Linked DNA regions of Sus scrofa. The protein of the gene in region 1 interacts with the protein of each later gene in a pairwise test. Links are inferred from orthologs where the notes say so. Each region holds a gene or a part of one and is shown on either strand. Other genes may lie near its edges.

Region 1 (6,099 bases):
TCAAGAAGGGCGAAATCACTGGTGAGCAGGGGCGGGAAGCGGGGCGGGAGCCCCTGCGGAGGCCAGGGTGTCCCGACAGGCTGCCCTGACCCGGGCCCCACTGCCCCGCAGGGGAGGTGCGGATGCCCTCGGGCAAGGTGGCGCAGCCAGCCATCACCGACAACAAGGACGGCACCGTGACCGTGCGCTACGCGCCCAGTGAGGCCGGCCTGCACGAGATGGACATCCGCTACGACAATATGCACATCCCAGGTGCGTGCCCCGGCGTCTCTGTCTCGAGGGGGCGTGGTGCCGGGGGTGGGGCCTGGGGACGGCACGAGGCCCCCCATCCCCCATGGCCCTCTTCCCGCCTCAGGAAGCCCCCTGCAGTTCTATGTGGATTATGTCAACTGCGGCCACGTCACGGCCTACGGGCCCGGCCTCAGCCACGGGGTGGTGAACAAGCCTGCTGTCTTCACCGTCAACACCAAGGATGCGGGAGAGGGTGAGCGGCAGCTTTCGTCTGGACCCACCCGGCTGTCACTGGATACCGCGTCTGGTGGAGGGCGGGCCCCTGCAGACGCTCCCCAGACGGGCTCCCCTCCCTCCCCCCGGCCTGCCTCTGCTCGCCTGTGCAAGCGTCCCCTCGTTGGCGCACTGCTGTCCCTGGGCACGGTTCCCCCCTCACCCACCCCTCTCTCCAGGAGGCTTGTCCCTGGCCATCGAGGGGCCATCCAAAGCCGAAATCAGCTGCACCGACAACCAAGATGGGACGTGCAGCGTCTCCTACCTGCCCGTGCTGCCTGGCGACTACAGCATCCTGGTCAAGTACAACGAGCAGCACATCCCAGGCAGCCCCTTCACGGCCAGGGTCACAGGTAGGTGGTACCTGGAGCGGTGCCAAAAGGAGGCAGGAGGCAGGAGGCAGGGTGGGCGCGGTCGCCCTCTGGGCCTGGACACACAGGCCCGTCCCCTGCCGCCAGGTGACGACTCGATGCGCATGTCCCACCTGAAAGTGGGCTCTGCCGCCGACATCCCCATCAATATCTCCGAGACGGACCTCAGCCTGCTGACAGCCACGGTGGTGCCACCCTCAGGCCGGGAGGAGCCCTGCCTGCTGAAGAGGCTGCGCAATGGCCACGTGGGTAAGGAGCTGGGGAGAAAGGCCTTCTGGAAAGGAGGGAGGCTGGAGGGCAGGGTCGCACCTTTCCCTGGCTGACGCCCCCTCCCCCCGCCCCGTCCGTGCCCAGGGATCTCGTTCGTGCCCAAGGAGACAGGCGAGCACCTGGTGCATGTGAAGAAGAATGGCCAGCATGTGGCGAGCAGCCCCATCCCAGTGGTGATCAGCCAGTCGGAGATCGGGGATGCCAGCCGCGTGCGGGTCTCGGGCCGGGGCCTCCACGAAGGCCACACCTTTGAGCCTGCAGAGTTTATCATTGACACCCGTGATGCAGGTAGGTGGTGGTGGCCCAGGCGCTGGGGTGAGTGAGACCCCTGTCCTGGGCCCCCTGGCTCAGGGATGGCTCTCCCGCAGGCTACGGTGGGCTCAGCCTGTCCATCGAGGGTCCCAGCAAGGTGGACATCAACACAGAGGACCTGGAGGATGGCACGTGCAGGGTCACCTACTGCCCCACGGAGCCGGGCAACTACATCATCAACATCAAGTTCGCCGACCAACACGTGCCTGGTGAGGGTGGCGCCCACACACCTTCCCCAGGGCGGGGCACCCCTCCGTCCTTGTCGCTCCCCGGGGTCCAGCTGCCGAGTGTCGCCTGTGCGGGATGTGGGTCGTGCTTTCTCCCTGCAGGCAGCCCGTTCTCCGTGAAAGTGACCGGTGAGGGCCGGGTGAAAGAGAGCATCACACGCAGGCAACGGGCTCCTTCGGTGGCTAATGTCGGCAGTCATTGCGACCTCAGCCTGAAGATCCCTGGTAGGAGCTATAGGGAGCCAGGGAGGGGTCCCAGGGAGCCCCTGGGTGCCAGCCCTAGGGGACCCCGAAGGGCTGGGGCCTGGCTCTCCTGCTCACCAGGCTGTCCCCCACCTACAGAAATTAGCATCCAGGACATGACAGCCCAGGTGACCAGCCCATCAGGCAAGAGCCACGAGGCTGAGATCGTGGAAGGGGAGAACCATACCTACTGCATCCGCTTCGTGCCCGCTGAGATGGGCATGCACACGGTCAGCGTCAAGTACAAGGGCCAGCACGTGCCTGGGAGCCCTTTCCAGTTCACCGTGGGGCCCCTGGGGGAAGGGGGCGCCCACAAGGTCCGCGCCGGGGGCCCTGGCCTGGAGAGGGCTGAAGCTGGAGTGCCAGGTAGGCCTGCCTCCTTCCTGCGGGGCTCATGCTCCTCCTGGGGGTGCGGGGGGAAGCAGCCAAGCTCATCTCAGCCCTGCTTGGAGGGGGCCGGCGGCGGGGGTGAGGGGCGGCCAGCCGTCCATGAGGGCGCGCTACTTTCCCACAGCTGAGTTCAGCATCTGGACCAGGGAAGCTGGCGCCGGGGGCCTGGCCATTGCTGTTGAGGGCCCCAGCAAGGCCGAGATCTCCTTCGAGGACCGCAAGGACGGCTCCTGCGGCGTGGCCTATGTGGTCCAGGAGCCAGGTACTGAGGGGCGGGGGCGGGGGCGGCCAGGCTGGGCTGTGGCTGTTGATCCGGTTCCACGCAGACGCAGCCCTGCCCGGCTCCCACCCTCCAGCTTGAGGTCCCAGGGCCCCTCGGGCTGTTCGTGGGAGGCGGCGGGCTCGACTGCCATGGCCGACCTGGCTCCTTCCCTGCCCAGGTGACTACGAGGTCTCCGTCAAGTTCAACGAGGAGCACATCCCTGACAGCCCTTTTGTGGTGCCCGTGGCCTCTCCGTCTGGTGACGCCCGCCGCCTTACTGTTTCTAGTCTTCAGGTGAGGCACTGAGAGAAACCGCCCGTCTGGGGCTCCTGGGCCCGGCCAGACCAGAGCCACCGCACAGAGCAGGCCTCGGCCCTGTGTGGAGGGACCCGCCCCGCCCGGCTCAGGGCACCGGGCTTCTGCTCTGGCCGGGTGCAGCCCACGCTCGGGGTCGGCAGGAAGTACCCCTGACCGCCGCGTGGAGTTTTTCTCGTGTCTCAGGTCTAAAGGCTTTGAACAGAAGCCTGTGCCCCTTGAGCACCAGGGCTGAGGTTTAAAGAGGGACAGCCTGCCAGGGTTGAGCGCTGCCCATGGGGCAGCCCCCCCTGCTGCCGCCACGCACCCCCCCCCCAGCGTGTGCCTGTAGAGCTTGGGTCTGGGAGCGGGAGCGGGAGCGTGTGCTTGGAGCGTGCTGCCCCTCAAGGATCAGTGGCTCTCCCTCTTTAAACCAAGTTGGACGCCAGATGGGTAAGTGCAACCCCGTGGGCCTCCTGCTTCTGGGGCCCTGCCTGCCCTGGCCCCCGCCCCGGCCCCGGCCCCCCTAACCACGTCTGCTATGCTTCCAGGAGTCAGGGCTAAAGGTCAACCAGCCAGCCTCTTTTGCAGTCAGCCTGAATGGGGCTAAGGGGGCGATCGATGCCAAGGTGCACAGCCCCTCGGGAGCCCTGGAGGAGTGCTATGTCACAGAGATCGACCAAGGTGAGGCCCTGTCCCTGCCCAGCCACCCAGCCATCTGCCCTGGCCCCGCTGGGAGCCGTGGGCCTCCCCCCGGCCTGTCCCGCTGGCTGGAAGCAAGCCGAGAGTGCGAAGGAAAGGCACAGACCGGAGGCAGCCGAGCCAGAGCGCAGCTGCCCCTTCGGCCAGGCAGCGCTTCCCGCACTTGTGTCCCCAAGTCCCTGGGGACCTGGCGCACCAGCCATGCAGCTAGGGACCCGAACGAAGCCTAGCTGTGGGGGCTGCTCGGCCCAGTTCCACTGGTGACAACAGCCCAGTCCTGCCCCTTCCCGGCCACATGACTCCGAGCGAGTTCCTGCCTGTCTCTGGGCCCCAGTTAACATGGGGGGATGTGGGGGACTCATCTTCCTAGGGAGGCGTCATGGCAGGTGTTCTGCTTTACCAAGCGAGCGTCCTGGCAGTAGCTTGGGCACCTGACACTTCACCCGTCAGGCTTCAGGAGGTCTGCACTGTGGCGGGGGTGGGGGTGGGGGTGCCCAGCACGGTCCCCTGAAAAGGGGTGGGCAAGGGAAGCTCTCCACAGGTGCCGCTTGCTCAGTTCAGGAGGAGGGCTCTCAGGCCCACGGAGCCCTCCTCTGTTCCTCAGATAAGTACGCTGTGCGCTTTATCCCACGAGAGAACGGCGTCTACCTGATTGATGTCAAGTTCAATGGCACCCACATCCCTGGAAGCCCCTTCAAGATCCGAGTCGGGGAGCCTGGGCATGGAGGGGACCCAGGCCTGGTGTCCGCTTACGGAGCTGGCCTGGAAGGCGGCGTCACAGGTGGGTCAGTGGCTGCAGCTTCTGCTGTGTGGACACAACTGCTAGGGCCCCTCCTCCGAGCTCTCGGTGACAACAGGAGGCGTGTGGAGGTGACAAGGCTACGCTGGGGGCGGGGGGCAGGGAACAGGCCAGGCCAGCTCTGTCTAACCTCCCGTGCCCCCAGGGAGCCCCGCCGAGTTTATTGTGAACACGAGCAATGCGGGAGCCGGTGCCCTGTCGGTCACCATCGACGGGCCCTCCAAGGTGAAGATGGATTGCCAGGAGTGCCCGGAGGGCTACCGCGTCACCTACACCCCCATGGCACCTGGCAGCTACCTCATCTCCATCAAGTATGGTGGCCCCTACCACATTGGGGGCAGCCCCTTCAAGGCCAGAGTCACCGGTGAGCCTTGTACGAGCCTCCTGCTAGCCCGCCCGAGGCCTGGCCCTCCAGCCACCTCTTAGCCCTGCCTGCTCTGCCCTGCAGGTCACCGTCTCGTCAGCAACCACAGCCTCCACGAGACGTCGTCAGTGTTTGTGGACTCCCTGACCAAGACTGCCAGTGCCCCCCAGCATGGGGCCCCGGGCCCAGGTGCCGCCGACGCCAGCAAGGTGCTGGCCAAGGGCCTGGGGCTGAGCAAGGCCTACGTGGGCCAGAAGGGCAGCTTCACGGTAGACTGCAGCAAAGCAGGTGGGCGCCCAGGCCGCGGCCTTCCGCAGAGGCCACAAGTAGGAGCAGAGAGAGAGCCAGCGCCCGGGACCGCAGGACGGGGCGAAGTGGGGGGGGGGGTGTCTTTGGGGATGAGGCTGTCCCTCCTAGAGCCGCTTCCCATCTGGGCCTCCTCTGCCTTTCTTCAGGACGGCGCCCTGAAGGAGCTGGAGTTTCCTTTGCTAGCCCGGGGGGTGGGGTGCCGGCAGCTCTTTGGCGGGGGCGGGGGGGGGGGCTGCAGGACAGGAGAAGGGCGACAGCGGGGTCAGAGCCGAAGGGAGGGGGCTTGGGGCCTAGAACTGAGGCTCCCACCCCCACCCCCCACCCCCAGGCAACAACATGCTGCTGGTGGGCGTGCATGGCCCCCGAACGCCCTGCGAGGAGATCCTGGTGAAGCACGTGGGCAGCAGGCTCTACAGCGTCTCCTACCTGCTCAAGGACAAGGGGGAGTACACGCTGGTGGTCAAATGGGGCGACGAGCACATCCCGGGCAGCCCCTACCGCGTCCTGGTGCCCTGAGCTCTGTGCCCTGGCCAGCCAGCAGCTCCCAGGATGAGAAGCGCCCCCGCGCCTGCCCTCCGCCGCCCAAGCAGCCCTCCCACCCCAGCCCTGGTCAGCCCTGGCCAGCCCTGGCCACCCCGTCACTGCAGCCAACCCGGCCCTGTGCTGCGCTCACCTGCCTCCACTTGGGCAAAGGAGAGAGGCGAGCAGAGGGAGCCATTTGGTGGCCCTGCCTGTCTTCTCTGGTTCTGGGAGGGGTGAGAGGCGGGGGTCTTGTGCACACCCACTCGCTAGTGCCCTTCCCTCGCCAAGAAGAATAAAACTGCTTCCATTCTCCTGAGGGTGGCTTGAGCTTTGTGGCAAGAGGGTCGACCACAGGGGGGCGGGACGCGTGGGCCCACTTGCCACCCTGGCACTTGGCTCCTCTCTGCCCCGAGGGTTCAGACCATGCAAGGCAAGGGGTCGTTCATGCCCCCAGAGCAGAACCGAATGCTAATGTGCTTGTCCTGTGCCCCAGGGGAAGAGATGGTGGCCCCGGGGGAAGGCCGGGCCAC
Region 2 (6,680 bases), on another chromosome or scaffold:
TTTTTTGTTTTGTTTTGTTTTGCCTTTTTGCCTTTTCTAGGGCTGCTCCCGTGGCATATGGAGGTTCCCAGGCTAGGGGTCAAATCGGAGCTGTAGCCACCGGCCTACACCACAGCCACAGCAATGCGGAATCCGAGCTGCGTCTGCAACCTACACCACAGCTCACACAGTGCCGGATCCTTAACCCACTGAGCAAGGCCAGGGATCATATCCGCAACCTCATGGTTCCTAGTCTCGTATTCTTTAACCACTGAGCCACGACAGGAACTCCTGTTTTTGTTTTTGTTTTTGTTTTTTTGTCTTTTAGGGCCACACTAGCTGCATATGGAGGTTCCCAGGTAGGGGTCAAATAGGAGCTGTAGACGCCAGCCACAGCCACAGCCACATCAACTCAGGATCCGAGCTGCGCCTGTGATCTACACCACCCCTCTTGGCAATGCCAGTTCCTTAACCCACTGAGCGAGGCCAGGGATCAAACCTGTATCCTCATGGATGCTAGTCAGCTTCATTAACCACTGAGCCACAACAGGAACTCCAATGAAATCACCTTTTGCTATTTATGTTTTGTTTTTTTGTTTTGCTTTGTTTCCATCTCATTGCTTCTTTGTGTTAGGAGGAAGTGGAGAAGGAAGATGAGGGATCTGGAGGCTAAAGTGGTCAGGGCAGAGGCCAAGTAGAGAGGACAAGCGTAACATTTCAGCCCCTAACCTGAACCTGTAAAGCTGAGGATGGGCAAAGGGCATGGTCAGGAAGAGTGGATCGCTCACAGAGGGATAGAAAGGTATTCTGGGAGTTACAAAAGCCATGTCCTAAGGTAGCCACAACAGGGTGGTGATGGGTACAGCAGAGGTGCAGCAGCTGGTTCCAAAACCTGATCAGTACATAGAGGAGTATCCAGGATGTTCATGCAGCTACTGAGGAAGGGGCTGGGCAAATGACAGGTTTCCCAGAGTTCCCGTTGTGGTGCAGTGGAAACGAATCTGACTAGTATCTGTGAAGATGTGGTTTCAATCCCAGGCCTCGCTCACTCAGTGGGTCAAGGACCCAGTGTTGCCATGAACTGTGCTGTAGGTCACAAATGAGGCTCGGATTCTGTGTTGCTATGGCTACGGTGTAGGTCAACAGCTGTAGCTCCGATTTGACCCCTAGTCTGGGAACTTCCATATGCTGAGGGTGCAGCCCCAAAAAGCCAAAAAAAAAAAGAAGGAAAGAAAAATGACCATTTCCCTCCAGGGCCTTCTCAAACTTGTTCCCCTGTCCAGAGGTGTCTCTAGACCCTTGTGAATGGGACAGTCCAGATCCCATGAGGTATGTGCTCCCTTAGGGGAAAATGCTAAGTAGGAACCTCAGAGAGTAAAGTCCTGGCAGTTCAGAGCCTACATGTACTTCCAGGGAGAGAGAGTGACATCTATCCAGCAGAGCAGGCTGAACTGAACACTCCAATGGCAAATGGGAGTGGAAAGGCAGAAATTGGTCAAATCTTCACCCACATTATCCCTGACTGCCTAAGTACTGGCTTTGGTTAATATGGTCCCTTGTCCTGCCAAGATCTGGCCCTTCCAGAGGTAGACCATCCTGTTCAGGAACTCTCGGAGTTCCCGTCATGGTGCAGTGGTTAACCAATCCGACTAGGAACCATGAGGTTGCGGGTTCGGTCCCTGCCCCTGCTCAGTGGGTTAACGATCCGGCGTTCCGTGTTGCCGTGAGCTGTGGTGTAGGTTGCAGACGCGGCTTGCATCCCGCATTGCTGTGGCTCTGGGGTAGGCCGGCGACTACAGCTCTGATTAGACCCCTAGCCTGGGAACCTCCATATGCCACAGAAGCCACCCAAAGAAATAGCAAAAAAAAAAAAAAAAAAAAAAAGACAAAAAAAAAAAAAAAAAGGAACTCTCAAAGGGCAGTTCCATTGTGAACAGATTTCCCTTCCTTTATCATAGCACCTCGGAGTTCCCATTGTGGCTCAGCGAGCTAAGAATTTGGCTAGTAACCATGAGGATGCAGGTTTGACTCCTGGCCTCACTCAGTGGGTTAAGGATTTGGCATTGCCTCGAGTTGTGGTGTAGGTCAAAGATGTGGCTTGGACCCCGAGTTACTATGGCTGTGGTATAGGCTGGCAGATGCAGCTCCACTTCGACCCCTAGCCCAGGAACTTCTATATGCTGCAGGTGTGGCCATAAAAAGAAGGAAAAAACAAAAAAAACCATAGCACCTTAAGCCCTCCCACCCCCAAAGTGCACCCATTTGTCCCTCCAGCTCCAGCCTGGATTGGCTCTGAATGGCTCTCTGGACATGTTCTCCGGGTTCTTACTCTCCCACTCCAAATTCCTGTCCACCACTTGCTGCCTGCTTCCTTTCTCCCTCTCAGTTTTCAGTTTCTCCCTGAATGCTTCTTTGAATCTCAGCCTCTAGGTGCCAAGGAAGGGGAGTCCCTGGGCAGACTAATCCCTGACCCAGACAGCTTCCTGGGAGAATCCCAAAGACCTTTGCCTCCCCTTCCTGAGCCTCTGGGCAAGGAGGGAGGGATCTTGGTTCCAGGGTCTTGGTACCCCCTGTGCCATTTGAGCTGCTTGCGTTCATCATCTCTATTAATAACCACCCTCCCTCCCCCACTGCCAGTGCTGCCCCCACGCCTGCCCAGCTCGGGTTCTCCCGTCACAGCAGCTCAGTCCTCCAAAGCTGCTGGACCCCAGGGAGAGCTGACCACCGCCTGAGCAGCCGGTAAGTCTCCAGCTTTATGACCAGAGGGGTCGGAGCCCACTCCATGAACTGCTGTGTCTGTGTCTATAACAGTGACCCTTGGTCCTGGGGCAGTTGCCCTCCTCCCCCATCTATACTCAGCTCTCAGTTGTCCAGCTCAGGGGAGCCACGAGAGTTGGAAGGAGAAGGGCCCAAGAGGGTGGGGGGAATGGAGATGATGGGGGAGGCCCTGGAGGAATAAGAAAGGGGTCTGGGATACTGGATGGGAAATAAGAACCTGGTTGCTGCTGAGAGAGGTACAGGGAGAGTCCATTTAGCAATTCCTGGATTCTGGCCTCACCAGACCCCACTACGCTAGTAGAATTGCATATGAGTTTTGAGACAGGACTCAGCAGAAAACAGCATTTTGCTGAGTGCCAACTTCTGTGAAGGAGGGGCTGGAATCTGTATTTTTCCCCAGCTTGTCCCCCTCCACGGCCAGATCCTATTATTATGGCCTGTCCTCCTTGAATTTCCCACTGCTATGGTATTGCTGAATTGACATGCAGCAGAGTTCACATGTTCCCTGACCTCCCTCTCCACTCCAGTTCTGGGGTCTGGGGGGCGGGGAGTGACTGAAAGGGAGCAGGAACATTGCTGTGACCTCCCAGGCCATGATCCAGCTGGCCGAATGGAGGGACAATAACCTCTCCTTCCTATGGAGAATGTTTTTGGCTGGATCATGTCAACACTGGCAGGACATTTTTTTCTGCTCCACTCCCCCACCCCCCGGGACTTGGTGAAGAGTGAGAGACCAGAGTTTGGAATGACATTCCCAATCTGAGAGCCCCCTGCAAATAAAAACTTCAAATCATGCCAAACCTGTGAAACCTGGTCGCATCGCCCTGCCTGTATTAATTTGTTTGTTTTACCCCCAGCCTCCCAATACACATTGTTGTTCCTAAGCCTTGCACCAACTCTTTGTAAAAGGGCTGAAAAAAGGTTGGTAGAAGGTAGGGGGAGGGGGTGCATCTATGCTTTCTGCCCTGCTTCCCAAGAAGAGAAGCCCTAAAGCAACGAGTTTTCACCTTTTAGGGGAATATATGTTTCCTTGAAAATCTAATGAAATTTTGCTCCCTGAAGTCCTTAAGCACTGCCTTACTGTAGACACTGCCACCTCCCCCTACATTCCTTGTCCATCCTTTAGCTCCCCCTTCTCACCCTATCCAGGCTCCACCCACCTCCACAATGCCGCTCTCAGGGACCCCAGCCCCAAACAAGAAGAGGAAATCCAGCAAGCTGATCATGGAACTCACTGGAGGTATGGCATGTTTGTACCTGACTGGTGTGGGATTTATTAAGAGGATCTCGGGGGAGTTCCCTGGTGGTCTAGTGGTTAGGATTTGGTGCTTTCATCACTGTGGCCTGAGTGTAGTCCTTGGTTGGGGAAATGAGATCCCACTTCAAGCCACTGCACATGGGCCAAAACAAAAAAGGAAAAAAAAGAGTATCTCTGCCCCAAGAGTTCCAGAAATATTATACATTTATACATGTATTAGGGTGAAAAGATATGAAGAGACAAGAGGAACTGAGGAGGGAAGGTGGGGGGAGGGAGAAAGAGGGAGAAAGAATTCAACTCTGACTACTCACCCTTCCACCCTTTTCACCTTGTAATCTGAGACAATAACACCCATGCCATGTTACCCAGCACAGGTCCAGGACAACAGGACCCACAGGTCAGTGAGGTATGTTTGAGGAGAAAAAATATACACGGAGACTGGCATGGAATAAGGTCTCAATAAGTGGTTAATTTCCTTACATCTTTCCCCAGAGCTTAGGAGCCTTGTACAAGCACTTAAAATGGAAAATTGCTCAAGCATTTTTCCTGAGGGTGGTAGGAGTACGTGCGTATGAAGAGCTCTCCCAATACCTAGAGGCTGTTTGCAGCCAGAGTTCACTGAGGGGAAGAAAAGGGAAAGGGGTTAAGACAGCAGACTATATTTAGAGGTGGCCTTTGGGCTTTCCCCCATGCTATAGTTTCCCCAGTGACCTCCATCTGTGGTGTTTCTTGACTCTTTTGCCCTGTACCCCATACCCTTTCACCCCATTCACCCTCGTCACTACACTCTAGTATCCCCACTGTCTCCACTCTGCACCCCAGTTCCCATGCATTCTCTCCAGCTCCAAATCCAGGAAATCAAAAGCCCTGTTAAACTAGATAGCATTTGATCAGACATCACAGACAAGGTCTGCTTCCCTCAGCGATGTCTGCTGGGAAACACACACTTTGCTGTGGATGGCGGATGCATTTGGAGCCTAGAAAAACCCTGCTTTCCTCTTTTCCTTGCTTCTGCATCCCCACTTCCCTGAAAGGTGGACAGGAGAGCTCAGGCCTGAACCTGGGCAAGAAGATCAGTGTCCCAAGGGATGTGATGTTGGAGGAGTTGTCGCTGCTCACTAACCGGGGCTCTAAGATGTTCAAACTACGGCAAATGAGGGTGGAGAAGTTTATCTATGAAAATCACCCTGATGTCTTCTCTGACAGCTCAATGGTGAGTTTGGAGTGTTACTACTCTCAAAGCCAGTGCCTCTTCTGACAGCTTCTTGGTAGCCCAAAATATTACCAACTTCCCCTCCCTGCAAACTTAGAAGCTCATTAACCCTCCAGATACATAAAGCCCCCAATATCTCCAGGATGAGTTACAGCCCACCTCTGAAACTAAAACTGTAGCTTAGAGCTAGTGAAGCAGGGTGGGGAGTATCATACCTTCAGGGAGAAAATTCCCTCCCAGTATAGTTAAGCATCAAAGATAGGATTGCCAGATAAAACACAGAACACCCAGTCCTATATTTTATTTTATTTCCTTTCTTTTTTTTTTTTTTTTTTGTCTTTTTAGGGCTGCACCTGTGGCATATGGAGTTTCCCAGGCTAGGGGTCTAATTGGAGCTGTAACGGCTGGCCTTCGCCAGAGCCACAGCAACACCAGATCTGAGCCTCGTCTATGACCTACACCACAGCTCATGGCAACGCTGGATCCTTAACCCACCAAGCAAGGCCAAAGAGTGAACCCACAACCTCATGGTTCCTATTTGGATACTTTTCTGCTGCACCATGAGGGGAACTCCTCTTTTCCTTTTTTTTAAATTGAAGTATAGTTGATTTATAATGTCTTGTTTTTAGGTGTACAGCATAGCGACTCAGTTATGCATATATATGTCTATATATAGAGAGACATATATACAGATTCTTTTTCAGATTCTTTTCCTTTATAGCTTATTATCAAATATTGACTGTAATTCCCTGTGCTATACAGTATAGTCTTATATTTTAAAGTTGAGATTCACATAAAATAAATAAGCGATAAGGATATATTGTACAGTACAGGAAATAAAGCCAATATTCATAATAACTAAATGGAATATGAGCTGTAAAAATATTGAATATTGTACATCTGAAAGTAATATAATATTGTAAACCAACTATACTTCAATTTTAAAAAATAAAGTTGATATACACACAAATAATTTCTTAGTAAAGCATGTTCCATGAAATATTTGGAACATAATTTTTTAAAAATTGAGGACAGTTAAATTTGAATTTCAGATACACAACAATTTTTTAGTATAAGTATATCCATGAAATATTTGGGACAGGGAGTTCCCTGGTGATCTAGGGGTCAGGACTTGGCACTTTCACCACTGCAGTTTGGATTCAATCCCTAGTCTGGGAACTGAGATCCCACATCATGCTGCTACATGCTACAGCCAAAGAAACAAAGAAATATTTGAGACATAAAAACTAAATTAAAAAATACAGGACACTCAGTTAAATTTGAATTTCAGATATATGACAAATACTCTCATATATAAATATGTCCCATGCAATACGTGGGCATATTTATATTGGTGTCCTATGATTTTATTTGGAAAACCTGGCAACCCTAGAAAGAGGTAAGTGAATTTTTATAGCCGTCTCCTTGAGCCATTCTTTTATCAAAGGTCAG

The links. The genes of interacting proteins can lie anywhere in the genome.
Region 2: the proteins of FLNA (region 1) and MYOZ1 interact in binary tests that used the Homo sapiens proteins (3 or more experiments, as listed by UniProt). The link is inferred for Sus scrofa from reciprocal best matches to the Homo sapiens genes FLNA and MYOZ1.

Annotation. Positions count from the first base shown.
Region 1 is NC_010461.5:124,909,116-124,915,214, forward strand, and holds the end of FLNA (filamin-A), read left to right. Parts: coding exon 1-21; intron 22-111; coding exon 112-252; intron 253-355; coding exon 356-484; intron 485-683; coding exon 684-857; coding exon of another isoform or gene 858-962; coding exon 963-1,124; intron 1,125-1,229; coding exon 1,230-1,433; intron 1,434-1,513; coding exon 1,514-1,666; coding exon of another isoform or gene 1,667-1,786; coding exon 1,787-1,909; coding exon of another isoform or gene 1,910-2,026; coding exon 2,027-2,293; intron 2,294-2,441; coding exon 2,442-2,579; intron 2,580-2,757; coding exon 2,758-2,873; intron 2,874-3,424; coding exon 3,425-3,557; intron 3,558-4,179; coding exon 4,180-4,738; intron 4,739-4,822; coding exon 4,823-5,026; intron 5,027-5,375; coding exon 5,376-5,865; 3' UTR 5,866-5,885; downstream 5,886-6,099. UniProt on the Homo sapiens protein: Promotes orthogonal branching of actin filaments and links actin filaments to membrane glycoproteins. Anchors various transmembrane proteins to the actin cytoskeleton and serves as a scaffold for a wide range of cytoplasmic signaling proteins.
Region 2 is NC_010456.5:76,448,774-76,455,453, reverse strand, and holds the start of MYOZ1 (myozenin-1), read left to right. Parts: upstream 1-2,507; 5' UTR 2,508-2,718; intron 2,719-3,900; exon of another isoform or gene 3,901-3,906; 5' UTR 3,907-3,924; coding exon 3,925-3,997; exon of another isoform or gene 3,998-4,940; coding exon of another isoform or gene 4,941-5,049; coding exon 5,050-5,228; intron 5,229-6,680. UniProt on the Homo sapiens protein: Myozenins may serve as intracellular binding proteins involved in linking Z-disk proteins such as alpha-actinin, gamma-filamin, TCAP/telethonin, LDB3/ZASP and localizing calcineurin signaling to the sarcomere.